4 linked regions of the Alligator mississippiensis genome follow. The protein of the gene in region 4 interacts with the protein of the main gene of each other region in a pairwise test. Links are inferred from orthologs where the notes say so. Each region holds a gene or a part of one and is shown on either strand. Other genes may lie near its edges. The genes, in order: UBQLN4, HNRNPUL1, CCNL1 and PRPF40A.

Region 1 (7,787 bases), on a different chromosome or scaffold from region 4:
TCCCTTCCAGCTTGACTTTCTCATGTTCTTTTCTCTTCAACCAACAGGGCATATTATAAGTAGAAATGGGAGAGAAGCAAGGCCCTGATGCTGCAGAAACTTGCACCCAAGCTTAGTCAGATCCATGAGCAAGCTTGTTAAGGTTAAGAGGACACACCCACACTGGCAGGGTGAGAAGCCATTTGCTACCACAGCTGTTCTAGCTTTGCTAGTTTCCCTTCCTCATTTCTCTCTCTCACACAGCAATGGGAGGGAAAGGACACTTTAAAACCCAAAAGCAGTTAAAGTCCCAATCCCCAATGGGAAGGTGGGCATGAGCCCTGGAACTACCAGCAACTCATCTGAAAAAGGGGGCTACAGTGCATATCAATGCCATTATGAATGTGGAACCATCAGGTGGTTTGCAAATGATGCCCCCTTCCCATAAACTGGCCATTCAACCACAAAGAAGGGTTAATACCTTCCTTGCCCGCTCGGCAAGAGAACCTGCTGCCCCCAGTACCTGAACAGACTGCAGGGAGGTAGCTCCTTGCACTGAGCAGAAAGGAAGGCTGACTGCCTTTCTAAAAGGAGAGACAAAAACCTTATGGGAAAGCTGTGAGTGCGGGGGGAAAGCAATGAGACTGGGAAAGGAGAATCTGCAGAGGTGGCCCTTAAAGGGGTTGAAACTGCAGATGGGCAGTGTCTTGGAAAGAAATCACAGCTGGCCAGCTGCTTTGAAAGCCTTTCTCCCCTTGCAGCCTGCCGAGATCTCTCTGCCATCCACCTCCATTCGCTCAGCCTCCCCTCCAAAAGCAGCTGAAATAGAGCATGCCTAGCCAGCTGCTGTGAGATGCTTGCCCTAGGAAAAATACTTCAGAATAACTACCCAGGGAGCAGGCTTGCGGCTACCGGGAGCACAGAAATTGTTGGATGAGGATTTTTTTGCCTCCATGGAACTTTCCATGGCAATTTTTAATCCCAAGCATTTTACAAACTAATTTCGCTGCTACCACAGCAGCGGCTGCAGTCAGGGAGACTGGGGAGAAGCCAAGCAGATGGGAAATAGGAAGTTTAATAAAGAAAAAAAAAGAAGAAAGATCAGGGTCACTTGGACTCTCTCAGCACAGGAAGGAAAGGCTGCGATGCACACATGCTGGTGACCATTAGAAAGACAAAAATGAATGATGGGCCAGTTTTTAGTTTACCCCAGGAGACAGTTTGCAAGTGCTGAAGTTTATCGCGGAGACAGCGGGAAGCAGCATGGCATCAGCACGCTCCGTGCACAGGTACTGTTCTGTACAAAAGCCTCCAACAGTAGCTGACAATTCGTGTGGCTTCAGAAAAGAGGTACTGATTTTTAATAAGCCAGGGAGGAGGCGCTCCTGGTGGGGGACAACACAGCTTCAAAAGGAGCGTGAGCCTGTTTAATGACGCCCACTGCTCAGATGGAAAGACGAGTCCCAGGAATGGTGGGAAAGGGCCGTTAGGAACAAGGAGGCCTGCTTGCATCTGTAACGCGGCAACGGCACCAGGAATCATTAGACAACTATAACTTAAGAGTCACCCAGCAGCAGCTTTCCAGTATGTTGATCTACACCCCATGTCTCTGGTCTGCCTGAAAGGTTACCCCCAAAAACGTCGTTACGTGCTCTTGATAATACCCTACACTCACTGAACGCCTCTTGCTGAAAGATCTCCCAGCGCACAGGACGGCCGGACCCCGCAGCCACGGGGACCCTGGAGCGCAAGGTTTTGGCTTCACATGGCTGTGAGCAAGTGAAATAATCTCCATATCCGCCCTGTCACCCGGAGAAATCCCTGCTTTAATAGGTTCTTACACGCAACAACTAATACTCGTAAGATTTCAAAGCACGTCAACTCTGCAAAGCTTTATGAAACCCAGGAGCCCGGGAGCCAAGACCCAATTAGAGCAAAGTCCCGCAGCCCCCCGAATTTGAACTCGTACGCTTGACGGCCAGGAACTCACAAACACGCGGCGTCATTTCCTAAAACCCCGGGAAAGGACGATTTCTTACTTCTGTGGGGTCTTAATCACCAAGTGCACAGTCAGTCCATCTTTGATCCCGTGTTGGCTCAACGTGTCTCCATCCTTCAGGATCTTCCCCGCAAAGATCAGAACCAGCTGATCCTGTTTGGCTTTAAACCGCCTGGAGATTTCTTCTTTGAACTAGGGACAAAGACAAAAGGAGGCAATTCTCAGGCCGAGGCGCTTTCCAGTCTGCCCGAGAGGCTACAGGAGCGCTGGGAACAAGCCTTCGCGCGGTCCGAAGGACACCGGGCAGCATCCCCGGGGCCGAGCTGGTTTCTGAGGTGGTTCAGGGGGCGACGGTGCATCCTTCGCCCGTTCGGCTCGTGCAGGCGAGCTTTGCAAGAGCAGAGCGCAACGGCCTTAACGTGAAAAGCAGCTACGCCGAGGATTACGGGCCCCGTTTACACCGGATCATCGCCGCTGGCCGGCACCGCAGAAAGCATGCCGGAGCGAAGCAGGCGGCCCCGTTTCTGGCTCCGACTCCCACGAGGACGCTCGGGTTTTGAGCCGACGGCCTCGCGGCGCCGCGGGAGGACCATCCCGTCCGCGGGAGGCTGCCCCGGCTCGGCACGTCCGCCCGTGAAGACGCGGCTCCGAGGACAGGCCCGGCTCCGCCTCGTCCACACGCGCCCGCCTGGCCATGCGCCGCTCGCCCCCGCGCCCCCCCGGCCCGAGCCCCGCGTCCTGGCTCGGCGCCCCCGCCCCCAACCCGGCCACGGCCTGCTCGCGGGGCGACCCCCCCGCCCGGGGCAAAACCTCCCGCGCGGCCCTGGCCCTACCCCCGCCCCCGCCTCAGGGCCCCGGGCCCAGGCCGCACCTCGCGCACGGAGGCGCCGTCGCCGATGACGATCTCCTCCTTGTCCTTGGGGGTCTTCACCGTGACGCGGATCAGCGCCGCACCCGGCCCCGGCTCCGCGCCCTCCGCGCCGGGCCCGCTCGGCTCCGCCATCTTGGCCGCCCGCCCCGGCCCGGCCCGGCCCCGCCCCCCGCCCAGGAGAGCGGCCCCCGGCGGCGCGGGGGGGGGCGCGGGGAGCTCGGCGCCCCCTGGCGGCGCGGCGGGGAACTGCGGGCGAGGGGAGGTGGAGTGGAGGGGCTTGGTGGGGAGACTGAGGCTGTGCATGCCCCTTGCGGGGGGAACTGAGACACACTGTGTGTGTGCATGGGGGTATGCATGCATCTGGGTGGGGAAACTGAGGCACGCTGTGTGCAGGGGGTATGCATGCCCCTGGGGGGAGAGGCGTGCTGGATGTGGGGAAGGGTATGCATGGCCCTTGGTGACTGTCTTGAGCTCCATGAGCCCCCCTCCCCTCTCAATCCTCGCAACTCTGCTCCGTAAGTGACACAGGGGAAACTGAGGCACGGAGAAGCTGCTCTGAAAAAGGGGCTAGCTTCTGGGTAGCCAGGGGCTGATTGTCCCTAAGGGCTGCCAGCTGGAGAGCTCACACCCACCCACCGCCCCTTCCCCAGGCTCAAGGCGGTTGCAAAGGAGCTGTAAAATGCTGCAGCCAGGCCGGAGGGAAGCTGACCTGGATGTGGGGATTAATCAGAGCATTCATTTCTCTGTTTTCACATCACCAGCTCCCAAATGTAAGTAGCGGTGGGGTGCGAAGGGGGTTGATCTCATGGCTGTTTGGGAGCGTCTGTGCTGGAGATGCAGCCGTGTTGTGCCTGCCATGGGGTTAAAGCAGGATTTTGGTCTTGTTAAGATAGAAATATATATTTCAGTGTATGTGTGCCTATCTATCTATCTTGCTCCTGACCCTCAGCCCCTGCCCACCCCCAGGCCATGCTGGTGCCTCTCACTCCCAACCCGCAGCCCCCTAGCGCTGCCTCCAATTGCCCTTCGCCTGCTCCTCCCAGCCCCAAACAGCTCCTTGCTGGGAAGTGCCAAGGGGGAAAAAAAAAATGATGCTGAGTAGAGCAAAATCCCAGATATTTGTTCATATTTTTAAAAAACTGCCTGGACAGAGGACCCAAAACGAGGACGTGTCTGGGAAAACCCGGACATATGGTAACTCTAAGCAATGTTTCTGCTTTTTAAAAAGGGAAACTGAACTGAGCTGGCAGGGCTGGGGGGTGGACAGCAAGATCTTTGTGTGGGCCATGTGCCTAGCTCCTGTCCTGGAGGTTGCCTGCAGCTGCCTTGCAAGCCTGAGTTGCTGGCAGGGCCATGCAATGCCTGCGCCTGTCGCATGTGGGCCTGACTCGGCAGAAGCCAGGCCAGGACTACAGCTCCCAGGCTGCTCCGGGCGCCCAGGGGCCATCAGCTGATGGGGAAGCAGAGCTCAGAGCTGTCTGCCTTCCTCTCCTCCCTGCTGCAGGGCCAAGAGCCGTGCGGTGGTGACCATGCTGCGCCCCAAAGCCCTCACCCAGGTGCTGAGCCAGGCCAACACCGGGGGGGTCCAGAGCACCCTGTGAGTATGGGGGAGTCGGGGGGTGGCTGGATGAAAGGGGTCTCCAAAGCCTGGGGCACAGCTCAGTACCTCTGAGCCTCCTTCCTCTGTACTCTTCCTAATTCAGGATAGAAACAGGCACCACTTGGTTTCCATCCCTGCCAGGAGCCATATAATGCAGCCTAGTGTGCCGTAAAAAGCAGTAATCCAGCCTAGCCCCTAAATCCTGTCTTCTCCCTGCCCAGGGGGGCTGGGGCACTAGCTTGCAGGACTAGCTGCATTGATGTGCCTGTGCATGGTTTGCTGAAGTGCAACCAGGCTCGTTCCAGCTCTGCCCGTTCTTGCATGCATTGACGTGAGACACTGCTAAGGGCACAGGCAGACAAGTTTCTTTAGGTAAATTTGATTTATTGATTGATTTTTATTATTCAACCAGTTAAATGCTTGGAAAAAATTTGTTTTTGCAAGCTTTTGGGTATAAACACCCTTCTTCAGAAGCTCGCAAAGAACAATTTTTCCAACTATTTCGTTGGCCAAATAAAAGATAACACGTTTACCCAAAGAACCTTGTCTGCCTATGTCCTTAGACCGACACGGCTACAACCAACAGCCTTAAAGCTAAGGGCATAGGAATCTTTTCCCACCTCCCCAGTTGCACCCCAGAGCCAAAGATGCCTTGGCTTCCTTGCATTTCAAGGTTGCTGCAACAGGCAGGAAGAAAACATACCATCAGGGGCGCGGGTCCTGGAGCTGGTGAGGTTGCCTGGAGCTGGGTAGATGCCGATCTTCTTTATGGCTAAGAGCCCCAGCTGGACAAAGCCTCAGCTGGGATGATGTAGTTGGGGCTGGTCCTGCTTTCAGCAGGGACATGGACCAGATGTAACCTCCTGAGGTCCCTTCCCACCCTCTTTTTTTTTATAATGTAAACCCCAAGGCTTCTGTAGCTTTTATGTAGGATGCCTGCCTGGATTTGGGGAGCTTCTGAAGCCCCAGACCGATAGGTCCAGGAAGGAGGACACTTGCCCAGTGGTAGAGTCACGCAGACTTGACAATTGAGCTTTGCTCAGTTGAATCTTGATACTTGATTATTGGGCTTTCACGATTGAATTTGGAAAGGATTCGGCCTTGAATAATAATAATAAGACGGTGATCTTCTTTCACACATGGGGTGATGCACTTACAGCTGAAGGTATAACCTGCCTGGGTGGTATTGTGTTAAAGGGAGGGGAGGGTGCTGGTTACTTCCCTCTTGGGGTGGAGGGGTCACACTTGGGATACTTGTGACTTTGGAGAGGCTGCGTGGGACCCTGGGGGCTGTGCATATGGGGGTTCAAGTCTGTCTCCTCCCTGCATCTCCTTTCCAGGCTTCTGAACAACGAGGGCTCGCTGCTGGCATATTCTGGTTACGGAGACACAGACGCCAGGGTCACAGCTGCCATCGCCAGCAACATCTGGGTGGCCTATGACAAGAATGGGCACCAGGCTTTCAATGAAGACAATTTGAAGTTCATCCTGATGGACTGCATGGTACCTGGGTTGGGGGTGGGGGTGTCGGTGGACTCCTGGCAGGAAGGTGGGATAAACCCAGGCAGCTTGAACATGAGATCCTGGCACCCAGTGGGTGGCTTCTTCCTGCCTTGGTTTCTCCCATCTGTAAAATGGGTCTGGTATGTGCCTTGTTGTGGGGACCAGTGAGCTTTATTCAAGTGTTTTGAGATCTCCCTGATGGAAATGCTAATTGTTGGGAAGTAGAACATCAAAACAGGGGAGCACTTTGCACCTGCCACTTGGAGTAAAGGGTGTGGGTGTGTAAACATCAGCTAAAACAAGGCCCAGGCTTACAAGTGTGACCTGACTTTGGCATAGCGTAAAGGACTGCATACAGGCAGTAGCAGCATCGAGCACTCTTCATCCGTAGACCTCAAACCACTTGACAGGCCAGCCTCAGTCTTGCAGATTGAGGGGAAACTGAGGCACAGAAAGGGGAAGGGCCTGGTTGGGCTGCTTTGCAGGCCCTTCTCAAAACAGGAGTAAAATCTGAGTCGAGGGCCCTTAACCCCTCTGCCACGCTATCTTCCCAACGACTCCTTGGTATCTTGATGAGGGAGAGCAGGGCCTCGAGATGCCGCGAGCCAGACCCCTAGAAGCAGGTTTGGGGCAGAACTCTGCAAACGTGGATTCAGTGCTCTGTTCCCCTCCCCGCTTTCTCTCACCATGCAGGAGGGCCGCGTTGCCATCACCCGGGTGGCAAATCTGCTGCTGTGCATGTACGCAAAAGAGACTGTTGGATTTGGGATGCTGAAAGCCAAGGTAATGCTGAGCTCCCTGGGCAGGAGGAGGAGCTGAGAATGGCTGTGTCGCTGCACAGTGAAGAGCATGTTTAGTACAGATCTGACTTGAAGAATACAGCAATGTGACCTTTGGTGAAAGAGCATTTTATGTAGGAAATACAGAAACTAGTTCTTGCTTTAAGGTGGCCTCTGGAAGCACCTTCCAGCTCTCTAAAGGGTGTCTCCCGCGCAGGAGGAAATTAGTATTTACAAGCTTTTAAAAGCCCCTGCGTGATGCTGGAATTGGCTCTGAAGGAACATCAAAATTGTGGCCTATAGTCTGGGTTATGAGTGTTGCAGGGAGCCATAAAAATAATTTCTAGGTAGGTCGTGGCTTGTGAATTGAGAGTGGTTCTGTTGTGCTCAGCTCCACGGCCTCTGGCAAGACACCATGCCTCAGTCTCCCCTGCTTTAAAATGGGAGGGGAAGGAGGGAACATTACCATATTGATCCACATAGCATGCACTCACCTTTCCTGAATGTTGCCTATCAGGGGAGTATCTTCTACTGAACAAGTGGGTTAAAAGGACACCCCCCCCACCCCCCCCCCCCGCTTCATCCTGCTTTCCCTAAACCAAGGTACTTGTCACTTATTTGTGGGAGCTTGTGGTATGCACCTAAATACAGGCACTTTGCTCTCAGTACAGTGGCCCAGGGCAGAGAGGCTAGATTTCAGTAGAGCTAATCCAGGCTGAGAGCTGCTTCTGCTCTACTTGCTGACCCTCGTGCTCGGCTTACATCTTAATCTCTCCCAACAGGCCCAGGCGCTGGTCCAGTATTTGGAAGAGCCACTCACACAAGTGGCAGCCTCTTGAGGAGTCAGGAGGGGCAGCGTGGCGTGTGGATGGAGCTGGCGCAGTGAGAAGCCCTTTAACCAAGAACTGTAGCAGCAGTGAGCTTGTGTGGCACGGCATGTACGGCTCTGCGGGGACATCTGGGCTCAACAGCAACGGTGGCAGCTTCCAGCGTCTTGATACTGCATTAAAATAACATGAAAACTTTCAAAGGGAGTCTCTTGCTTGTGTCTCATCT
Region 2 (6,995 bases), on a different chromosome or scaffold from region 4:
TTGAAGGCTGGTACAGGGGTGCTGTAACTCGCTGGGGGCGCGCTGTAGCCAGGGGCAGGTGCACTGTAGTTGGCCGGTGGGGCGCTGAAGCCAGAAGGAGGGGCGCTGTAGCCAGGAGCAGGGGCGCTGAAGCCTGGTGGGGGTACGCCGTAGCCAGGAGCAGGTGCAGTGTAGCCAGCTGGGGGCACGCTGTAGGCAGGGGCAGGGGCACTGTAGCCAGAGGGGGGCATGCTGTAGCCAGAAGGGGGTGGGTTGTAACCGGGGGGTGGTATGTTGTAGCTGGGGGCTGAGGCGTTGTAGCTGGGGGGAGGCAGGTTGTAGCCGGGGGTGGGGTCTTCCTGCTTGACTTCCGACTTCATCTCTGTGCACAGAAAAACAGGCGGCGTCAGGGGGCTGGAGAGGCTGGGTGCAGCCTGACAGCGATGCCTCGACAGCCTCAGACACTCAGTGAGGTCTTTGAGGGTGACAGGGGGGTGGGGGGGGGTCTCTCCAAACTGCTGCAGGGGGGTGGGCAGGGCAAGCTCAGGGAACAAGGGCCAGGCAGGGCTGGTGCTGAGTTCAAGGGATACTGGAGAACCCAACACTCGAAAGCCCTAAGTGGAGGCTTCTCAAAGGTGCCAAGTTGGGGGCAGGGAACCATGGGGCAGCTGCCAGGCAGGACCCAGCCCACATCTCCCCATGGCCAAGGAGACTCCCAGGGGCAGGGGCCAGGCACCTGTGGGACCCCCCGCCCCACCAATTCCCGCCAACAAAGGCCCCTTGGCGGGCTGGTCCCTACCTGGGTGCAGGCCAGGATGCTCCGTCTCTGTTGGCCGCCGCTCGTAGCTGGACTCATTCTCCTGCCTGACGGCGCCATGCTCAAAGGACTGGTAGCCCTGGTGGTCGCTCTGGTGAGTGTTGCTGTCGATGTCGTCTGCGCAACAGAGACGTGGCTTAAGACGGGAACCGGTAGGGAGCTGTGGGTCCCGCTCACTGGGGCGGGGTGCGTGGAGCTGCACTGGAGGCTCCAGCACAGAGCGCGGTGCGGTTGGCAGGACAAGGGACCGGCCAGGCATCACCGAGGTCCCTGGGGGTGTTTCCGGGCAGGGAAGTTTGGGAGTGATGCTCATCAGGGCTGGGAGCCAGGGGAAACCCAGCAGAGGCAGGATCCAGCTGCCTGCCTGCTCCCCCAGCTGGTGTGGCCAAAACCCACCAGACCCAAAAAACCTGCAAGCAAAGCAAAGCATCCAGCAAGGCAGCAGTGAGGGGTGTAGGCCCCCCGATACCAGGGATCCGCCGGGAGGGAGGTGCCGGGGTGGGGGGGGCGGCGCAGAGACACAATGTCACCAAAGCAGCCAGGGGGTGATCGGCTCCCCACGGCAGGAAAAGGGGACGGAGACGCGGGACACACACCAACGCTGGCCTCGAGGGGCTGCCAGCGCACAGACCTCCCAGCACAACCAGCCCGGCTCGAGACAGGAGCAACAGCTGAGCTGTGCCGGGGAGCCCGGTCCCCAGCGCGGAGCTGCACCGGGGGGCCACATGCAGCCCCCCCGCCGGACTCTGGGCAGGCACCCGACTTTCAAGCAGAGCCGTCGGATCCATCGCCCCGGGGAACTTTCTGCCTCACGCCGCCACCTCCTCCACAAAGCCCGGAGGGCACACCCGCGAGCTGAGGCGCCCCAAAGGTGCCTGGAGACCAGCACAGGACACAAACGGGGCACCTCAGCACCCCCGGGCTCATCTCCGGAGGACCTGCCCTGGCGTTCCCCTCCCGGAGCCGCACGGCTCCGTATGGAAACGAGCCATGCAGCCGGCGAGCCCCTATTGCCAAGGCCCCTGAGGCCGGCGTGCGCTCCTCTGTGCAGGCAGGCAGCGTGTCGCGTCCCACCACTGCTGCAGCTAAGGCTGGGGGGGCCCCCAAAAAAGTCCTGGCTCCCAGGGTCTTGAGTGGGTTCAGCACTCCCACGGCACAAAACCAGCTCGGCCGGGAGGCAGCTCCGCTACGGGATGGGGGAGGCAGACAGAACGTGAGCAGGACAATCCCCACCGCATGCCCGGGCAGGTCCGCCGGGCCGGCCCTCTGCAGCAGGGTGACGGAGCAGAGCCGCGATGCCGTGGGCTGCCCCGGCTCCTGTCCCGCAGGGCAGCCTGGGGGCCCGGTGGCCAAGGCCCACAGGAAGAGAGCGCGGGTGACCCTTTTGGGGTACCTGGCCCCCACCACAGACTTGCAAGTCAGAGCTTGTTGCTGGAGGTGCAGCAGGGCGGGGGGCACAGCACAGCAGCGCTGGGGAGCTCCCCCCACCAGGGGAGATGCACCAGGAGACCAATGGTGGAGCTGCACCAGGGGGCCTGTCCCACCACGGAGATGCACCAGGGGCCAATAGTGGAGCTGCACCAGGAGACCCAGTCCTCAGCGCGGAGCTGCACCAGGGGGCCAATGACGGAGCTGCACCAGGGGGCCCAGTCCCCAGCGCGGAGCTGCACCAGGGGGCCAATGACGGAGCTACACCAGGGGGCCCGGTCCCCAGCGCGGAGCTGCACCAGGGGGCCAATGACGGAGCTGCACCAGGGGGCCCGGTCCCCAGCGCGGAGCTGCACCAGGAGGCCCGGTCCCCAGCGCGGAGCTGCACCAGGGGGCCAATGACGGAGCTGCACCAGGGGGCCCGGTCCCCAGCACGGAGCTGCACCAGGGGGCCAATGGCGGAGCTGCACCGCGGGCCCCGGTCCCACCACGGAGGTGCAGCGGGGCCAGTGGCGGAGCGGCTCTTGCCCCCTTACAGTGTCCGTCGGGCGCGGGGTCGCCGCCGCCGGGCCCGCGTCGCGCCTCCTCGGCCTCCAGCGCCGCCTGCAGCCGTTCGGCAAGCTCCGCCTTGAGGCCGCGCGTGTCCAGGCCGCGGCGGCCCAGCTCCTCCTTCAGCTCGTTGACGCGCAGCCGCCGCACGTCCATGGCCCCGGCCCCGCGGCCCGGCCTGGCCCGGCCCGTCACTCCGCGCGCCGCCCGGCCATGGAGCCCCCGCCGCGGCCCCGGCTCAAAATGGCCGCCCTCGCCCTCCTCCTCCCTCCCCGCGCCGGGCCGCCTTGCAACGCGCGCCGCCATTGGCTCCGCGCGCCGGCCCGCCATGTCACGCGGCTCGCCATTGGCTCCCGGCCGCCGCCCGCGGTTCTCCCGCTCGCTCTCGGTTTGTCACGGGGTGCCCCATTGGGCCGGGGCGGCCGCGGGGTTGTTACGGGCCCGGCGGTTGGCTGGAACCCGGGTGACGCTTGGGGGGAAGCGGCGGGGCGGGATTGACAGCGAAAGAGGCTGGCAGCGGACCAATCGCAGCAGGCGTCGCTCTTCTGCTGCGCTGGAGGGCGCGGAGGCGCCTGGGGTGGGCGGGGCCAGTGTTAGCACGCCTCCAATTGGCTGAGCTGCGGCGAGGCGCCTGGTGGGTGGGGCCAGCGTGCTAACACGCCTCCTATTGGCTGTTTGGGTGCCTCCCATTGGCCGAGCCCTGCACGAGTTAAAGTTGTTTTTTTTTTTCCTTGCCCCTTTCCCATTGGCGGAGCCCTGGCAACCAGGGCTGAGGCGGGGTGTTAGCCTGCTCCCTATTGGTGCAGCCCTGCTGACACGTTGTCAGCCGCACTCTCCTTGGCTGAGAGCCATGGGCGCCATTGTGGGCGACGAGGGCACGCGGCCCCAGTCCTGAGGTGGTTGCCAGAGGGCGGCCATGTTGCCCGTGCCCTCCTGCGGGGACTGGTGGGGCGCCCGCACGATGCCGCCCACCGTCCTCCTCGAGTGCCTCCTTCCCAACGGGATGCTGGTGCCCCTGGAGAGCCCCCGCGAGGCCTCGCTGCTGTCCGTGAAGCGCCGGCTCTTCCGCGAGGCCCGGAAATACCCGCTTCCCCACCTCCTCCGCGACGCCGCCTGCTACGTCTTCGTGGGCGTCACGCAGGACGCCGCCCGGGAAGAGTTTTTCGACGAGGCGCGGCGGCTCTGCGACCTGCGGCTCTTTCGGCCCTTTCTCCAAGTGGTCGAACCCGCCGGCGACCGGGACGAGAAGATGCTGAACCGGGAGATCGGGCTGGCCGTCGGCACGCCCGTCCGCGAGCTGGAGGCGTCGAGGGACCCGGAAGTGCGGGACTTCCGCAGGAACGTCCTGAACGTCTGCCGGGAGGCCGCCGAGCGGCGAGGGGCCGACGCGCCTCGCAGCCGGGCTTTGTACGCTTGGCCTCCCCGCGTCCACGCGTCGCCTGAGCTGCCCCGGCCCCTGTACGACAAGCTAGACGAAGGGCAAATGGTAGTGGCCGTATGGGTCGTAGCCTCCCTGAATAACAAGCAGAAATACCCCGTAAAAATCAGCCATGACTGCGTGCCCGAGCACGCGATCGCCGAAGCAGTCAGGGCGCAAACACGAAGCGCGTCGCTGTCACCTGAGCAACTGAAACGCCGCGTCTTGAAGTACCAGGATAAGTACGTTTTAAAAGTGTGCGGCTGTGATGAATACTTGCTAGAAAGGTATCCTCTCAGCCAGTATAAGCACATCAGAAACTGCATCATGGTTGGCCTCGTGCCCAACCTGATGCTGATGTCCAAAGAAAGCCTGTATGCCCGGCTGCCGTCGGATAGCTTTACCATCCCGTCTTGTCCCAGAGGTGTTTCTACGCCTACCCCGTACACGAATGCAGAAGTTTCCGCCAAATCCCTCTGGTCTATAAACAGTGGTCTCAGAATAAGAATCTTCTGTGCCACGTACGTCAATGTAAATACACGAGACGTGGACAAGATATACGTCCGAACGGGTATCTATCACGGGGGTGAACCGTTATGCGACAACGTGAAAACTCGAAGGGTGCCTTGTTGCCGTCCGAGATGGAACGAATGGCTGTCGTATGACCTGTACGTTCCTGATCTCCCCCGTGCCGCTCGCCTTTGCCTCTCCCTCTGCTCTGTCAAAGGCAGGAGGGGTGCGAAAGAGGAACATTGCCCACTGGCTTGGGGAAACGTGAACATGTTTGATTACACGCACACTCTCGTATCGGGGAAAATGGCTTTGAGTCTGTGGCCAGTGCCACATGGGCTGGAAGATCTGCTGAATCCTATTGGCATGACTGGGTCCAATCCAAGCAAGGAAACTCCGTGTCTAGAGCTGGAGTTTGATAGTTTTGGCGGCCCTGTCAAGTTTCCAGACATGACGGTGATTGAAGACCATGCCAGCAGGGCTGTCTCTCTGGAACTCGGGTGTAACTACAGCCGTATGGAGCTGACTAACAGGCTAGCTAAAGGTTTTGAAGTAAGAGAAAGCGACAAAGAACAACTCCGTGCACTTAGCGCAAGAGACCCGCTTTCCGAAATCACTGAGCAAGAGAAGGACTTTCTTTGGAGCCACAGATATAGTTGTGGAAACATCCCAGAAATTCTGCCCAAGCTGCTTTTGTCCGTGAAATGGAACTCGAGAGATGAAGTAGCCCAGATGTATTGCCTGATAAAAGACTGGCCCCTAATCAAGGCAGAACAGGCAATGGAGCTTTTGGACTGTAATTATCCTGATCCTGTGGTGCGATCGTTTGCCATTCAGTGTTTGGAGAAGTGCTTGACCGATGACCAGCTGTCTCAGTACTTAATCCAGCTGGTACAGGTTCTGAAATACGAGCAATACTTAGATAATCTGCTGGGGAGATTTTTGCTCCAGAAAGCACTGACCAATCAAACAATAGGACATTTTTTCTTTTGGCATTTAAAGTCTGAAATGCACAATACAAGTGTGAGGCAGAGATTTGGATTGCTTTTGGAGTCCTACTGTCGCGCATGCGGGATGTACCTAAAGCACCTGCGCAGGCAGGTGGAAGCCATGGAGAAACTAACTCACCTTACTGATATTCTCAAGCAGGAGAAGAAAGATGAAGCACCGAAGGCACAAATGAAGTTTCTCGTTGAACACATGAGGCGACCAGATTTCATGGAAGCTTTGCAAGATTTTATCTCTCCTCTTAACCCTGCCCTTCGGCTAGGGAACCTCAGGCTTGAGGAGTGCAGGGTTATGTCCTCTGCAAGAAGGCCTCTCTGGCTAAACTGGGACAACCCAGATATTATGGCTGAACTGTTGTTTCAGAACAATGAGATCATCTTTAAAAACGGGGATGACTTACGTCAGGACATGCTAACGCTTCAGATTATTCGAATTATGGAAAACATCTGGCAAAAGGAAGGTCTTGATCTTCGGCTGCTGCCTTATGGCTGTTTGTCTATCGGCGACCGCGTGGGCCTTATCGAGGTGGTCAGAAGCTCTTATACAATCATGCAGATTCAGTGCAAAGGAGGCCTAAAGGGCGCGCTGCAGTTCAGCAGCCACACGCTACATCAGTGGCTCAAAGACAAGAACCAAGGAGCGGCGTACGACGCAGCGATCGACTTGTTCACGTGCTCCTGCGCCGGCTATTGCGTCGCTACCTTCATACTGGGCATCGGTGACCGTCACAATAGCAACATCATGGTGAAGGATGACGGGCAGCTGTTTCACATCGATTTTGGGCACTTCCTGGATCACAAGAAGAAAAAATTTGGCTACAAGCGAGAGCGCGTGCCATTTGTCCTCACGCAAGATTTCTTACTCGTGATTAGTAAAGGAAACCAAGACTGTACCAAAACGCGGGAGTTTGAAAGGTTTCAAGAGATGTGCTATAAAGCTTACTTAGCAATTCGGCAGCAGGCCAATCTCTTCATCAATCTCTTCTCCATGATGCTCGGCTCGGGCATACCGGAATTGCAGTCTTTTGATGACATTGCTTACGTTCGAAAGACGCTCGCCTTGGACAGAACTGAGCAGGAAGCTCTGGACTATTTCACAAAACAGATGAACGATGCTCACTACGGCGGCTGGACGACAAAAATGGACTGGGTCTTCCACACGATAAAGCAACATGCCTTGAACTGAAGTGAAAGCAAAGAGGACCAAAACCAATAGCCAGCTTTTAGGGCTGCGCCGCTAACACCTGTTGGATTGGAGTCACACAAACCACGAATGACGTTAGAAGTT
Region 3 (6,832 bases), on a different chromosome or scaffold from region 4:
AGGCAATGTGAGAATTAAGTGCAACCTGTTTTAATAAATCCTGTGTCTGTGTAAAAAAAAAAAAGACTACAACTACAACCTAAATGTTAGTGTCAAATGTTCTAAAAACCTGGACAGCAAAGAAAAAGGCTTAGAACAAGATACAGGAGTTCTTCCAAATGGTTCACCAGCGGCCAACCTGTTAGTCCCCCGATTCCAGTGACCTATTCTCAGAGCACTGGCTTCTCCTTGGGGATTTTCGATACTTCACTCACTGTTGCCATGACGACAGCTTCATCTCTATGTACCACTCCACATCACCCAGGGTTTGGTAAATGTAGCTGGTCGCTGTATAGTCGGTTGCAAGGGAAAAAAGAGTTGAAGTTAATAACATGTACAGCTTATGTAATAAGCTTGTAAAAAGTACAGAAAAATGTTTATCCTGCTTGGGTTAAAAAAAAAAAAAAAAAGCAAGTCTGAATTTCAGACTTAAGGTTTTTAAAGAACAGTTTTGTGTAGATTCACTTCTCAGAATCTAAAAGACGATACCCATTTCTCCAGAAGTGGGATAACAAATGGGTCAATAAGAGAACAAGATCCTCTTTAGACATGATGCGCGCTTGACACCATGTGGCATGCAGTGACATTCTCATCTGGAACAATCTATCTTCCAAGTGTCACATTGATACCTAAGTTTCCATTTCTTTGATCCTTTAGCAGCTTACAGAAGCAACTAATTTGCATTCTCACCATAAAGACATTATTATATGATCAATTAACTTTCATTGTTAAGCCTGAGATATTAAGGAGAACTAAAACTAATTTTAGCAGTCAAGCAGAATCTTCTATGGTAATTATGGTAAGAACATACCACCATATAACAACGTACTAGCTCAATAAACTTTGCAGAATCCTCCCAGTACAAGATTGTTCTAAAAGCTAGGTTCCATTCAAATAAGAAAAAAGAACAGTAGTCAATTTTCCTTTTAGTAAAACTGACTTGAAGAGGTAAGCGTGTGGCAGAGAAAAGTTTAAATTCAAGGCACAACTGTAGCCAGATTAAGTACTTAAATAAGTGCACCAATAAATGTAACTACTTTCCCTCAATTATTTCAATCTATTTCAAAAAGGTAAGTTTTGGAATCTCTCTCGCTCTTTGAATCCCCCCTTTACCTTGTAAGACAAGACAAAGAAAAATTCTCTTTTACAGCTAGACAGAACTTCTCAGACAAAAATTCTGATGTTTAATTAAACTATTCAAAACCAGCACTGCAAGAAAGTTTGCAACACGGCTTAAAAGCCAAATTTTAAGAAAAAGTGTTGCCTTAATCAGTTTATTAAGAGAATATCTTCTCTTCAAAAACACATTCCTTGCTCTTTTAATATCATGTTAACTGGTCTTATACACAGGAACACACATGGCTTTACAAGAAAAGCCAAAAAAAAATAAGCACTCAGCTAAAAACAGACTTAAACCTAAAACAAGCAGCATCACCCAGAACGCAAACATCATCACGTGACTACATTCCAACTTCTCTAACTTACGTAATGGCACTACACCATAAAAATACCAGTCTCCCTTCCAGTAATTAAAGGTACACTCAGCCTCCAGCCAATTAGGTACTTGACAGCAAAGATATACATTTTCAAGCTGCGTGTGCTACAGGCCAAATTACACCACCTAGTTACACACTATGATATTTTTTTGATGGGCTTGTAGTTTATCAGGCTTCAGTCTTTTAAGACCTGATATACGGTCTACTGCAGCCACATGGGGATTAAGTGCTTTAACAAGACCCTAATTCAAGAGTGACACCAGACCTGCATGAAGGATTCAGCAGGCAAGAAGAGAACGTACAACCCAGCCGGGTAACCACTACTCACATCCAGGATTTCTTTTAAGACTTACAGACCCCCAATTAGCCACAGACAGACTCTTACACTACACCCAACACTCAGGGCTCCTCCTGCAAGTATCCAGCATGTAGCTACAAGGTTTGCCTAGGCTGCTCCTGGCCGATCCCTGCAATGGCACAAATGGAAGCCAGCTTTGGGAACGTCACTGCCTACGGTCACTCCCTTCTCCGCTTCTGCGCCTCGCCTGGCAGGCTTGAAAACCTCCGCGGCTGCGGGGGAGGGGGGGGCGCACAGGAGACAGAGCGGACCTTACCTCTTGGCTCTGAGCTGGCGCAGGTAGTGGAAGACGTTGATCACATCACGGATGCGGCGCGGCGCCTCCTCGATCTTGGACGCCAGGTTGATGCAGGCCATGGCTACAATCTGCAAAGAAGCCCATTTCCGTGAGAGGCGCGGGGCCATGGGCAGAGACACCGCCCCCCCGCCCGGCCCAACCGCCCAGCTGCTTACCTCAAAGCTATGCTTGACGAAGGACTTGGAGTAGAAGAAGCGGTGGAACAGCACCTGCCCCGTCGCCATCGCCACCTGCCAACACAAGCCCCGGGGGGAGCGGGGCCGGGTCAGCCGCGGGCGGCGGGCGCGCACCCCTCCCCCCCGCCCGCAACCGCCGCCGCCATTTTGTGTCAGGCACCGGCCCGCCCGCTCCCCTCCCCCCACCCGCCGCCCGCCACAATGGCCGCCCCGGCCCAGGCCCAGGCGCCACCGACCTGCGGCAGGCGGAGCAGGATGCCGGCCGCCTGGATGAGCTCGCAGCCCAGGATGCGCAGGTCTGTCTCGCACTGCAGGTCCAGCCCGTCCTGCATGGAGGGCGTGGGCGACAGGCGCTCCTCGGGGATCAGCGAGTGGTCGATGGTGAGCGACACCTCCGAGTACAGCCGGTCGCCGATGAGGATGCCCGGGGCGGGAGCCGGCGGCGGGGCCGGGGCGAGGGCCGGGGCTGCGGGCGCGGCGGCAGCGGCGGCCGGAGGCGGCAGGGCGGCGGCGGAGGCCATGGTCGGTAGGCGCAGACGCGGGCACGATCCTCACGCGCGGCGGCCACGCAGGGAATGACCCGGCCCGGCAGGGCCCGTGACGCAGCACTCCGCGGCGCCTCCGCGCGGGGCGCGCTGGGAAAAAAGAGTCCCCCTCCCCCTGCCCTTCTGGCCTCGCGGCCTGGCTCTGCGCATGCGCATGTGGCCCCACCCGGGTGACGCAGGCGGCGCGCACAGCCCCCCCCTCTGTGCTGACTCTAGTGCTTGTGCTCGCTGCGCTGCTGGGCCGGGCTGGCTGCGCGGCCGCAGCTGCGGGCTCTGAGCCGGCTTCCCCGGGGTGGGGTGGGGCGGGGAGGATTGAATGTTCGGAGGTGCACAGGATTTCCACCCACAATCCCAGCCCAAACCTAGCTTTTTATTCAGGCCTGGGGGCTTCCAAGTTGGGAGCACGGCATGCAGAAACGAAGCCTTGGATTCTGCCCAGCCTTCTTGGGGGGAGTCCGCTTGGGCTTTGGGGTGACCCACAAAGGATTTTTGCCCATCGCGTCCAAACCCAGCTCATTCTTCAGTGCGACGTGCATGGCACACAGGCCTCGGGGGCCATCAGTGAGCAGACTGGCACTTTCCGCGCTTGGGGTTGGGCGGCACCCTGCTCTGTTACTCAGAAGTATAGACTTGTCCCCCAGTGGTGTACGGATGTGTTGAGGGTGACCTGAAAGTGACTTTGCCCCCTAATCCCAGGTCTTTTTTTTAGGGCTATGTATGTGATTATCTTACATTTTTATTAGTAAATACACATCTTTGATGAAACACTCTTTAGTTTGTGTAATTCATTATTATGATCCTTTAATTGTGTAAGAATTAGCTTTGAAAAAGGACACGGGAATAAGGAATCAACTTCAGCCTCATACTGTTCGATGGGAGTCAAAGTCCAGGACGATCAGCCACGAGACAATCAAGTTGTCTGGACTCCAGCACAAGCCCTGTTAGATGATCTCCTTGGGTCCCTTCTGTCCCTACCAGCTATGAAACTTCGGCATGAGAATTAGGCAGCCCCACAAGGGGAGCCAGACACAAAGCTGCCTCCAACCCAACCAGATTGGGTTACTCTTTAAAGTGAGGAGAGAAAACCCCCAAGTTCCCACTTGGGCTGGAAGAGAACATACAAGTACGTAAAGACCTGCTGGGTCATTGTGCAAGAAAGGGGAAGGAAATGTTTATAGCCACAACCATCTATAGTTCTGTTTGCTCTCTCTTCTGTGGAAGCAAAGGAAATTATTACATCCACAGCTGCACACAGATTGTCTGATGGCTTTCATGGTTGGGAGGGAACTCAGAGCAATAACTTGAATTTATTATGCTGCTTTTCATCACAAAACGATTTATAAACTCTACTAGGCCATTACGCTATTGAAGCAGCCGAGCTTTGGGGAAAAATGGCAGCTAACCAGGGCATTGTACTCCGTATAACAGCAAAGGAAAGAAGTTAGTTAGAGTAGACCATATTCATCTGAAGAGGTTGCATTGGTTGAAAATGATTTACTTGAACTCTTGCAAAATCCCACTGTGTAGACACTCATTTGAGTCACTTCATCTAGTTTAAACTAAAGCTGTTCCCAGTTGCCATTTGAAACTGAAAACTACTCAAAATGAAATGAGTATCCATGCAGGGGTTTGCACTGGCCTAACTTCACATTTTAGATTATAGCGCTGCAACTTATTTTAAATGGAGAGGTAGTTACTGTTTGATATACCAGTAAATATTTCATATTGGGTCCTCAAGTGAAGTTCTTTGCTCTTTGACTTTATTAATAAAGTACAAAATAGAATACATAATAATTGCTAGAATACATAAAATACATAAAGATTAGAATACAAAAAAATTTAGAATACATAAAAATTGTTTAGAAAACTTGCAATTAAAAAACACTAAAGTCATAGTATAAATTTTAACAGAAGCATGGGAACATACAACCAAAGTAAGGACTAACTCTAGTGTATGTTGATGTCAATACTTCTCACCAACAGATTTTTCTTAGAATAATTTCCTAGAATAACTGTGTCATCCAACAGTACCATGAACTCTACCATGGCCAAAGATGGAACATGAAACCCTGTGTGTAATAAGGAATTGTGTCTTTAACAGTGTCATCACCATGTAGTCAAAACATAAGGCCTTTGTATCCTGAACTTGTATTACGACCACCGAAGGAATATATTTGGGTTATGGTGGTTTGGCACAGCCTAAATTATTCCACCTTGTGTTTGTTATTTCCTTATTTTCAAATAGCGTTAGCTTGTAAAACCCCAAACTTTTACAGAAATCTGTAAAATATATTTTTATACCAGAGACTGAATTGACTGTTCTAGCCATCTTTATTTAGTTCTAGGAAACATGATAAACCAAATACACATTTAAACATCTAAATTACTGTTATTCAACTAATTAAACAAGTATTTTTGGCATAAATATTGTTTGAGAAGACTGCAATGTTCTTATAATAAATGGTCATTTTCTCCTACGTATACATAGAGCTACAACTATTTATTTTTAAGGCAAGAAAACATCAATCACGTACCAGTGTCATCTTATGACTTTTTTTTACCAAGCAACTAATGTACTTTATGTGATGGATATTGATCTAGTAGAGTGACAGTTCAATACCCCAATAGTCACCAGCAGCATTCTGGCTGGCTTGAATGCATTTTGTTTGGTGCAGCCAGTCAGATGCTAGATTACTCACAAACCAGTTAAAAATACTGCATTTTTATGATCCAATTGGCCTTTGGTCATTTTAAGTCGGATAAGGACTTCATCCAGTAATACGATTGATCGGTACAGATTCTAATTGGTATGTCAAGGCTTCTGGCAAAGGCATGAGGAGATCTGATGCACAATCCCAACATCCATGCCTCCTGTCCTGCTATATGTGCATAGCAGGAGGCATGATTGTGGGATCAGGGGTCATATCCAGACAGTGTCAAGCCATCCAGCTGACTGCCACTTCCAGCCTCAGGGGCCCATTGATTATCTCATGCCTGGATTGCCTTAAATTTAATGCACATGGGAAACAATAACGTATTTGTGTAATAGCTTTGTGGTTTATTCCTTGTTTTATCGTGCCTTAATTGTATTAACCTGTGGCTGGGTTACTACTTAAAATGTAATTAACTGGTTAATCGTGTTTTAAAGTCTACCAGGTACCTAAGTAACCATAGCAATTCAAGCGCACAACTCATTAGGGCACTGACTCTAATCTAGAATGCAAATCCTCTTTTTAACTAGTTGTATCACTTTATGGTTAATGCTTCTTTAATAACAAGGATCTGATCCTCTCCCAAGCTCCAGCAGTCTCTGACTGAATTATTATACAGTGGAAATGACTGCAATCACTTATACTGTTGACTTCCCTACTGCTCAAAGGTGGCAACTTCAGAGCTCTGCAGCCACCTGAGGAGGATCTGGAATGAACCTCACCTTTCTGGTGTAAATGTTCTTTAGGAACCCCAGGATTGCCCCAGAGCAGGGAGGATCACACTTCTTTTTAAGCAACTGTTCCAGAATCGAGAAATACATTCTCAGTAAAACATGTACGAGGGCAAGCAGTTACATCTCTGTGGGCTGCCCCAATTACTGCGCAGCCATGTATTTGCACAGCCACAGCTGGTGCTCCAGAATCACTTCTTTGGAAAAGCTTAGCGATGATCAAACTTATCCTCTTCTCCCTGCAAACGGCTTGCTCTTTTGTTTCCCCCCTGCCCTGAATTAATCCTCACGGCCTTTATTCCCGTGATAAGATTTCATAGTTATTAGGGCTGGAAGGGACCTCGCAAGATTATAGGGATACAGATTGGGTTGAAAAGCAAAAGAAGACCCTATTCTTTTCAGGACATATTTCCAGTGCCTGTCCTTAATCTCTTCAGGCCCACAACTGGGAGGATCTCTTAGCGCAGGTTGTTTTATG
Region 4 (7,630 bases):
GAAGAAAACAAGTTATAATTGTTTGGCGTTACAGCTACTATATTCAATTTAAAATGGCTAACCAATAGACAAGGAAACAGAAATGAGTACAGCCTGAGGTAGTTCTGACAGATGACCGTTTCTAGCAAGGTTCACTTAGTGACCCAGCAGCACAAGCTTAACTGGCTTTTTTTTTTGGTTTAGCTATTAAATGTTTATCTTCACATTATTAGGGTAATGTAATAGGAGAATAACAAAGCTTTACACCATACCTACTAGAGGTGCATGGATACATCAGTTCATATTGTATCGGCACAGATAAAAGGAAAACTGACATTAACAGCAATAGTCTTTTTCTGGCTGAAGTGGCCAATAATGTTACTAATAAATGCCACATGTATGAGTGCAGCTGCAGCAGGAATGCACACAGCCAAGAATGGAGCCCAGCAGCTTGGAAAACTGTGTGCAGCTGGTAAGTCTGTTGGGGAAAGGGGTGGGGGGGGGCAGGGGAGGGCAGATCAAGGCCTCCATGGTGAGGGAGTGGGGCTGGGGCAGGCGCTGCCCAGCCAGGGTGGGGCAGGCATGGGACAGAGCCAGCGACTTATCTGGAAGGCAGCTCCCATCACTGGGAACCCCCAGGGGAGGCATAGGAGGCATGTGCCTCCCTTCCCCCAGATCTCTGCAAGGTGGGAGGGCAGGCTGTCCACTGCAGGCTTGGGGCCGGGGCTGCTCCAGCCTCATCCCAGCAGCTGCGCTTGGGTTGGGCCGGGTGAGGCAGGCAGTGGTGCTTGGAGGAGGACTAGAGGTAGAGGGGACTAGAGCCACCCCAAAATTCACCATAGCCCTCTGCAGGCCCCCCTCCCAGCACCGCTGCTGCCTGCCCCACCTGACCCGAGTACAGCTGTTGGAAAGAGGCTGGTGCAACCTGGCTCTGAGTACGTAGCAGGTAGCCCGCCCTCACCCCACACACAGATCCAGGGTGTGCAGTGGCAGGAGCTGTCCCCCCACCCGATGAACCTACAGCTCCGTCCCACACCCCATCCCACCCCAGCTGCATGCCTGCCCCACTCCCTCCCTCACTGCAGGGGCTGCAGTCTGCCCCCACCCCACCCCTTCCCAACAGACTTACCAGCTGGATGCTGCTTTCCATGCTGCTGGGCTGCATATTGGTAATCGGATTGGTACTGGCTGATCGATAATTGGCCATCAGTATTGGCCCAAAAAATCTTTATCAATGCATCCCTAATAACTATTCTTTCCTCTCTGTTTGTTAAATGCTCTTCTAACAACAAATCTGATGGAGTTTTTCCTTTCCAAAGCAATTACTTGAATTTAACTCAAATTAAACTAGAAGGAATTTTCTCTCTTGGGCCATTTTTCAGTCTCAATATTTGTTATCCTTACAGATATCTCCAAAATGTGCAACCTCAACAACAGAGCTAGTAAGACTGAATGAACACAGAAAGTGAACTACTTACCCAGTACCAGACTACATGTACATAGCAAAGTTCTGTATGCAGTTTCTCATTTTCTCCATATTAATGAAACCCCACGACCTCATAAGCATGAAGCTTGCAGTATTCCTGATTATTGTCTTGTAGTTAACTAGAATGCCCATCCAACCCTAATCCTGGCATTGCAGTAATGGTTTGGTAAGAACTTACTTGAATCGTGCAGGTGAAAGCGGAGTTGGGGGAAACATTCCAGGTTCAAAGGAATCAAAATATGTCACTGTCCAAGAAAAGCTGCAGCATGAGAGCCCTGCTGTCAAGGCTAGAATAAGCAGACCCCAAAATCCTTAACAAGGGATAAAAAGAGAAGTTTATGTAAATAAGTATGAGAACACTAAATTACAACAGATTTTCAAAGAACTCAGCTTCACAATATAACATAATGATTCCACATTCCTGAAAGAGAATGGTATATCTAGTTCTGTGTTGGTATTATTTTTAGAGGTGAATAAAGAAAATTGACTGCATCAGAAATTGGCTTGATTTGGCCAATAAATGCCTCATGCTTACACACAGCTGCAGTGCAGCATGTAGGCAGCGAGGATCACAGCCTGACAGCTTGGAGAGCTGTGCACAGCTGGTAAGTCTGCTGTGTTGTGGTGGATGGAGAGCAGAGAGGGAAAGGATGTGTGCGGGGAACAGATCAAGGCCCCCGTGGTGAGGGAGTGGGGCAGGGAAGGACAGGACAGAGCCGCAATCAGCTCATCCAGGGGGCGAGTGGAGGGGGGGGTATCAGAAATCAGATCAGTATCGGCCAATAAGCCTCCTTAAAAATCTGCTATCAGTACTGGCCCCAAAAATCTATTGGTGTACCCCTAATTATTTTTAAACTATGAACATACACAGTAGAACCCAGATACTTTGTAGAATCAGGTTCCTTGCCCACAGCAAAGATAAGGGTCCAGCTGTGCACAACCACTGAGGTGCTCGTTGTTGGCTGGAGTTTTGTTTCAAAGGGCACTGCTTTTCCAAACCGCTAGAGGACCACTAATGAACCCTAGCTGTGTAGAGAAGCAGCATTCTTTGAAATAAAAGCTGCAGCAAATGGTTAATTCCACAATCCACTGCTAATTAAGAAGTGGCAAACCACCCAAATGGAAATGAGCCAGGCAGTTTTGTATGAACAGAGCAATACCTATATTGGGGTATCTATTGCAAGTGAACAAATACTGGTAAAGAAATTAAAATTAAGTCTGAAAGTCATGCTTCACTAGGGTGTTGAATTGTGGTCACAAGGATGAAACTTGATAGGGAAAAGTCTACACGTCCTCACTGCTTTAAGATTTGGAATCACTTGAAATCATAAGTAGATCTTTGCTTCAATTTCTTAAAAAAACAAAAAAAACAACAAAAAAAAAAAAATTCTGGATCAGTTAGGCAAATGTTATATTAACTGTTTTAGAAATTAAGTCAAAATTCATTATAGGCGCTATGTACATTTTAAACTTAAATGCTTATTTCTCCAATTTATATTCTCATGTAAATACAATTTCATCTGTAAACTCATTCTACCTTTAAAATGTGCATCCTGTACACATCATACCTTTTAGAAAATGGGCACATCTCAAAAGTAATTATGTTTAAAAAATGATGTCATTCGTGATTATATGATGCATTATGACTTTCAGATTTCTTGCAGATTACAGCATGGATTGACCACCCATGGCAAGTGGCACAGAGCTCCTGTGTGTTGCATGCGAGCCCCAAGCAGAGTAAAGGGAGGTACCTAAACCAAGGTAGGAATGCTGCAAAAGGTGTCCAAAATCACCAGCAGCTGCCACCACAATCATTTCAATGTTTAATATCGGACCCACAAGTCAGCCAACTTCAGCGGAGGGAATACTGAGAAGGGACCGAGTCAGCAGATAACCAAGAAAACAGCGATAAAACAAACATCGGGTCCTTACAAGAACCCTGGTTTCTTCCAAGAGTTATAATTGCTTTTCTCTGCCAGCTGCGCACTTTGAAGTGTTATCTGAGAAAAATTTAAAGCAATTTGACTTCTTTTGCTTAGCTTGCACCCGTCCACCTATGATTCAGCAGGATTCAGAAAGCTCCTAATGGGAGGGAGCAAGACAGGCTGGTTTGGGGGATCATCCGTCTCTTGCTAAAACTGAATCTCTAACTCTACCTCCTGCCAAACAAGGGCAAGTCCAGGATCCCCATTTTAAAGGCTGCACGGAGCAGTGCCAGTCCCCCCGCCCCCCCTCCGGCGCGTCCCAGGACAACTAAGGAGCACCATCTCCAAGGAGGCGCGGGGCAAAGCTTGCGGCGCCGCGGCTCGTACCCAGCAGGCGGGTCTCCGCGGCCTCCTCGCTCTTCTCCTGCTCAGCCTGCAGATCTGCGGAGACAGGCAGCGCTCAGCACGGAGCCCCGGGCACCCCCCGCCCCGCCCCGCCCCGCCCCGCCGGCAGCGCTCACCCCTCAGCACGAGGCCGGCGAGGGCCAGCAGCAGCGCGAGGATGCAGACGGCCACGAGGCAGCAGAGCACGGAGCAGGCCCGCGCCGGCCAGCGCTGCGCCCCGTTGTGCTTGTGGCCCGGGCGCGGCACCCCGGACCGGCCCGCCCCCACCCCGACCCCCGCCTCCTCCTGCTGCAGCTCGGGGTACAGGCTTCGCATCACCGCCCCGCCCGCCGCCCACGGCGTCTCGGGCCCCGCCGGCGCCGCCCCCCACGGCGCGACCCGGCCCCGCCGGCGCCCGCCCAGCGACAGCGACATGGCGGCCACGCCGCGACAGAAGGCGCGAAACGCGCGCGGCGGGAAGGGAGGCAGGAAGGAGTGGGGGTGGAGCCACCACTTCCCTGCCCGGCCCCCACCAATGCGCGCGGCGGGGGGGAAGGGGTGGAACCGCGCGCGCGCGCTGACCCGGAACAGGAAGGGCGAGGGCGCGTTACGGCCCGTACCACCTCGCGGGAGGGGGGGGGGAAAGAGAGCCAGAGCGCGGCTCGCGCTCAGCATCTACCAACCCGCGCGCGAGGCCGGGGGGGGACGGGGTTTCCGGGGATGGGGACAAAGCCAAGCCGTTAGCAGAGCGCCGCTTTCTCCACCCCTCTTCTCAAGCGCGAGTGGTGCGTCCCGCGGCCCCGCCTCCTCCGCCCACGTGACCACTTCCCAGCGTTCCCCGCGCGCGACCCCAGCCGCAGCGCTTTCCCCCCGCGCGAGCTCCGAAGCCCAGCGCGAGACCTACCCCACCTCCCCCCCCCCCGGCGGCAAGCGGCCCAGGCCGGCGGTACCCGCTTCCTGATCGTCTCGTCGGCGGCCCGCGCGCCCCAGCTTCACGCCCGCGCTTCCTGGTGCGGGGCCTAGGCCCGCTCGCTCCCTCCCTCCGAGGCCCCGCGGGCCGGGCCGGGCCGGGGCCGCGATGTCCGGTGGGGACTCGGCGGCGGCGGCGGCAACGGCCTCGCCTCAGCCGCTGCCGTTCTCGCTGCCGAAGCCGCCTCCCCTCATGCAGCTGACACCGGGGGATGCCGTGCGCCCCGTCTCCGCCGCCTCGGACCAATCGCCGAAGAGCGGCCGGCTCGGCGGCCGCCCGGATTGGCCGACGGGCAAGCCTGTCAGCCTGCTGGCCCCGCTGCTCCCGCCCCGCGGGGAGCCCGAGCCCCTCATGCCCTTCGGGCCCTCGCGGCAGCAGCTCCGGGGGAGGCTGCTCGGCCGCTGCAGCGGGGGCAGTCTGCTCAACCCCTCGATGAGGCCGGGAGGAGACCGCTCTCTCATGGTGAGTGAAGGGTTAAGCCGGGGGGGGTGGGGCGAGGGGGAGGGACCGTGGCGGGACGGTTCCGCGCACGCCAGCCTCTGTCCTTCTCGGCGGCTGTTGAGGGGCCCCTCGGGGGCGAAGGACCTCACGTGACTGCTGCGGGGGCGCCTAGTGCTTGGTCCCGGGGCCTCGGCTCTGCTGTCCAGGGAGGGCTTCCCAGTGTGGGGACAGACCCTCCCACCTGTGGGGAGGACAGGAACAGGTGCCAGCCCTAACAGGGGGGCACTCATCCCTCTCCCTCTCTGGCTGTCCGTGTCAGGATGCAGATGGGTGACTCCTGCCCTGCTGCCAGGCTCAGAATTGCTCAAGAGTTCAAAACTACTTGACATCATCTCTGTTTTTGTTCAGTTTGCACCTCTTTTGTCGCCAGCTGAAACTTTCCCAGTCGCGCCTCACTTGTTACCCAGGAAGGGGTTCCGGGATCTTGGCTTAGTATTGCAGGTTGTTCGGCACAAGTTACTTCTGAGAGTTCTTCTCAGCGGGAGCTGGGCTCAGAGTGGGTGCTGGCAGCACTGGGAAGATGCTGCATCTATCCCAGGTTTCACTGCTGCTCTACTCCCAAAACTGCAGCCGCCCAGCTCAGCCCCATCTCAATGCCCTGCCTCCACCTACGTACTGGGAAGAGCCAGGGCTGCACGGGCTGGCTGGCTGGCAGCGGTGGCAATGGGAGTGGAGCGATGGTGAAATTTGGGATGGATGCAGCATCTTCCCAGTAACACTGGCATCCACTCTGAGCCCAGCCCTTGCCAAGAAGAGCCCTGTGCAGCCCTGGCTGCAACCTGCCCTGCCCTGTGCAGATCTGGGGGACATACCCTCCCAGGGTGCAGACAGCTGTGGGAGCCTGCCCCGCCTGGGCAGTGCCTGACCCTGCCCCCAGCTGGAGGCAGCTTTGTTGGAAATTGGATCAGTATCGGCCAATACGCCTCCTTAAATATCAGCTATCTGTATCAGCCCCAAAAATCTCAATCAGTCCACTTCTACTAAAAAGTTTAATGTCCATAAAAAGCCCTATAGTTATGGTTGTTTTTAGAAAATGCATCGAGAAATAGACTGCAGCTAGTATAGATGCAGAAGATGTTGTATTAACTATAAACTTAATCATAAAAAGGAAGAGATTTTATAATCTATCAAATGAGTTCCATGACATGTGTAATGCTTTCATTGAGCAGTCAGAGCCATGTGTGAAAATATTTTTATCCTTTTGGTTTGTTGGATTTGTGCATGCTAATTTGCAAGTTGCGGGAATATATTTTTTTTCCATTGTTTTGGAATTTTTAGCTAGGTTTGTTAACTGTACATTTTTGACAACTTATGGTAGTTATAGTCCATTCGTGTACATCATGAATACATAAATGCTTTGATGTAGTGAATTTTCTACATATTTTCCTCAGTCAACGCTAAACTGGCGTGTAAGGCAATGTTTGTATATCCATTGAGATATTTCTGTAATTTTTGCATTTCATGTTTGATATCAATATTTTTCATTTATTAACTTTGTCTTTCAGATGGGTCACCCAGGCATGCCTCACTATCCACCCATGGGGATGCACCCCATGGGCCAGAGACCACCAAATATGCCACCAGTTCCACATGGTATGATGCCTCAGATGATGCCTCCAATGGGAGGACCACCAATGGGGCAGGTAAGGCCGCTTATTTGACTTTCTCCAGAATGATCAGAAATAATTTAGACTGGTAAGTTTCTCATTCCTTGGAAATCATGATGCTTATAATCCCGGGTTTCTTGTATATCATTTGGGTCCTACAGATACTGTTTCTACTATAACAAATAATGAAGCTGCTTTTTGATTTCAAATTTTAAAAGAAAAACAATAGCCCTATATTGGAATCTGTCACTCGAATCCACCAGTTATAACGCTGATAACTTAGACAATTCTCCTTTAGTCACACAAGAGAAGTAAGGTGTATATAACAGCATATAGTTATAAATCGCGAAAAATATGGAACTTAATTCTAATAAGAATCTTCAGTTTCTGGAGGATTTTTCTTTAACATGATGCTAAGCAACTCTCATAAACAATGGTAGAAAATGACAGGAGGATGGAGAGAAGAAATATAAAATTAATGTTCTCCTGACTTTGCAGGAGTTTTCCTAGCTGTATCTTGAGGATTATTATATGCTCTTGTAATATGCTGACTGTGCTAGTATAATGCAAATCTTAAAAAAAAAAATTACTGCTCAGATTGGTTAGCAAAGGAACATTTCTGAGATTTTGAACTTCCTTTTTTAAAACAGTGAATGTTCCTGCCGTTTACGACTGCTAATTATTTTCTGAATTTAAAAACAGGCAATTCTCTTCCTCATTTTCTAGTTCTAGTGCAGCTACTAGTGAGCAAAGCCTCCCTAAGCAGAAATTGAATGAA

What was found.
Region 1: the proteins of PRPF40A (region 4) and UBQLN4 interact in a two-hybrid assay, tested with the Homo sapiens proteins (2 studies listed by BioGRID and IntAct). The link is inferred for Alligator mississippiensis from reciprocal best matches to the Homo sapiens genes PRPF40A and UBQLN4.
Region 2: the proteins of PRPF40A (region 4) and HNRNPUL1 interact in a two-hybrid assay, tested with the Homo sapiens proteins (2 studies listed by BioGRID and IntAct). The link is inferred for Alligator mississippiensis from reciprocal best matches to the Homo sapiens genes PRPF40A and HNRNPUL1.
Region 3: the proteins of PRPF40A (region 4) and CCNL1 interact in binary tests that used the Homo sapiens proteins (3 or more experiments, as listed by UniProt). The link is inferred for Alligator mississippiensis from reciprocal best matches to the Homo sapiens genes PRPF40A and CCNL1.

Annotation. Positions count from the first base shown.
Region 1 is NC_081838.1:17,229,251-17,237,037, forward strand, and holds the start of UBQLN4 (ubiquilin-4), read right to left. Parts: upstream 3,010-7,787; 5' UTR 2,982-3,009; coding exon 2,850-2,981; intron 2,171-2,849; coding exon 2,019-2,170; intron 1-2,018. Other genes in the region: ragulator complex protein LAMTOR2, read left to right, coding at 3,618-3,619, 4,354-4,446, 5,790-5,952, 6,646-6,735, 7,514-7,570. UniProt on the Homo sapiens protein: Regulator of protein degradation that mediates the proteasomal targeting of misfolded, mislocalized or accumulated proteins.
Region 2 is NC_081838.1:1,511,891-1,518,885, reverse strand, and holds the start of HNRNPUL1 (heterogeneous nuclear ribonucleoprotein U-like protein 1), read right to left. Parts: upstream 3,014-6,995; 5' UTR 2,930-3,013; coding exon 2,761-2,929; intron 914-2,760; coding exon 779-913; intron 362-778; coding exon 1-361. Other genes in the region: phosphatidylinositol 4,5-bisphosphate 3-kinase catalytic subunit alpha isoform-like, read left to right, coding at 3,690-6,893.
Region 3 is NC_081830.1:66,221,895-66,228,726, forward strand, and holds the start of CCNL1 (cyclin-L1), read right to left. Parts: upstream 3,001-6,832; 5' UTR 2,889-3,000; coding exon 2,604-2,888; intron 2,422-2,603; coding exon 2,347-2,421; intron 2,260-2,346; coding exon 2,150-2,259; intron 1-2,149. UniProt on the Homo sapiens protein: Involved in pre-mRNA splicing. Functions in association with cyclin-dependent kinases (CDKs). Inhibited by the CDK-specific inhibitor CDKN1A/p21. May play a role in the regulation of RNA polymerase II (pol II).
Region 4 is NC_081827.1:226,099,725-226,107,354, forward strand, and holds the start of PRPF40A (pre-mRNA-processing factor 40 homolog A), read left to right. Parts: upstream 1-4,618; 5' UTR 4,619-4,852; coding exon 4,853-5,206; intron 5,207-6,750; coding exon 6,751-6,888; intron 6,889-7,630. Other genes in the region: ARL6IP6 (ADP-ribosylation factor-like protein 6-interacting protein 6), read right to left, coding at 1,644-1,776, 3,778-3,831, 3,912-4,209.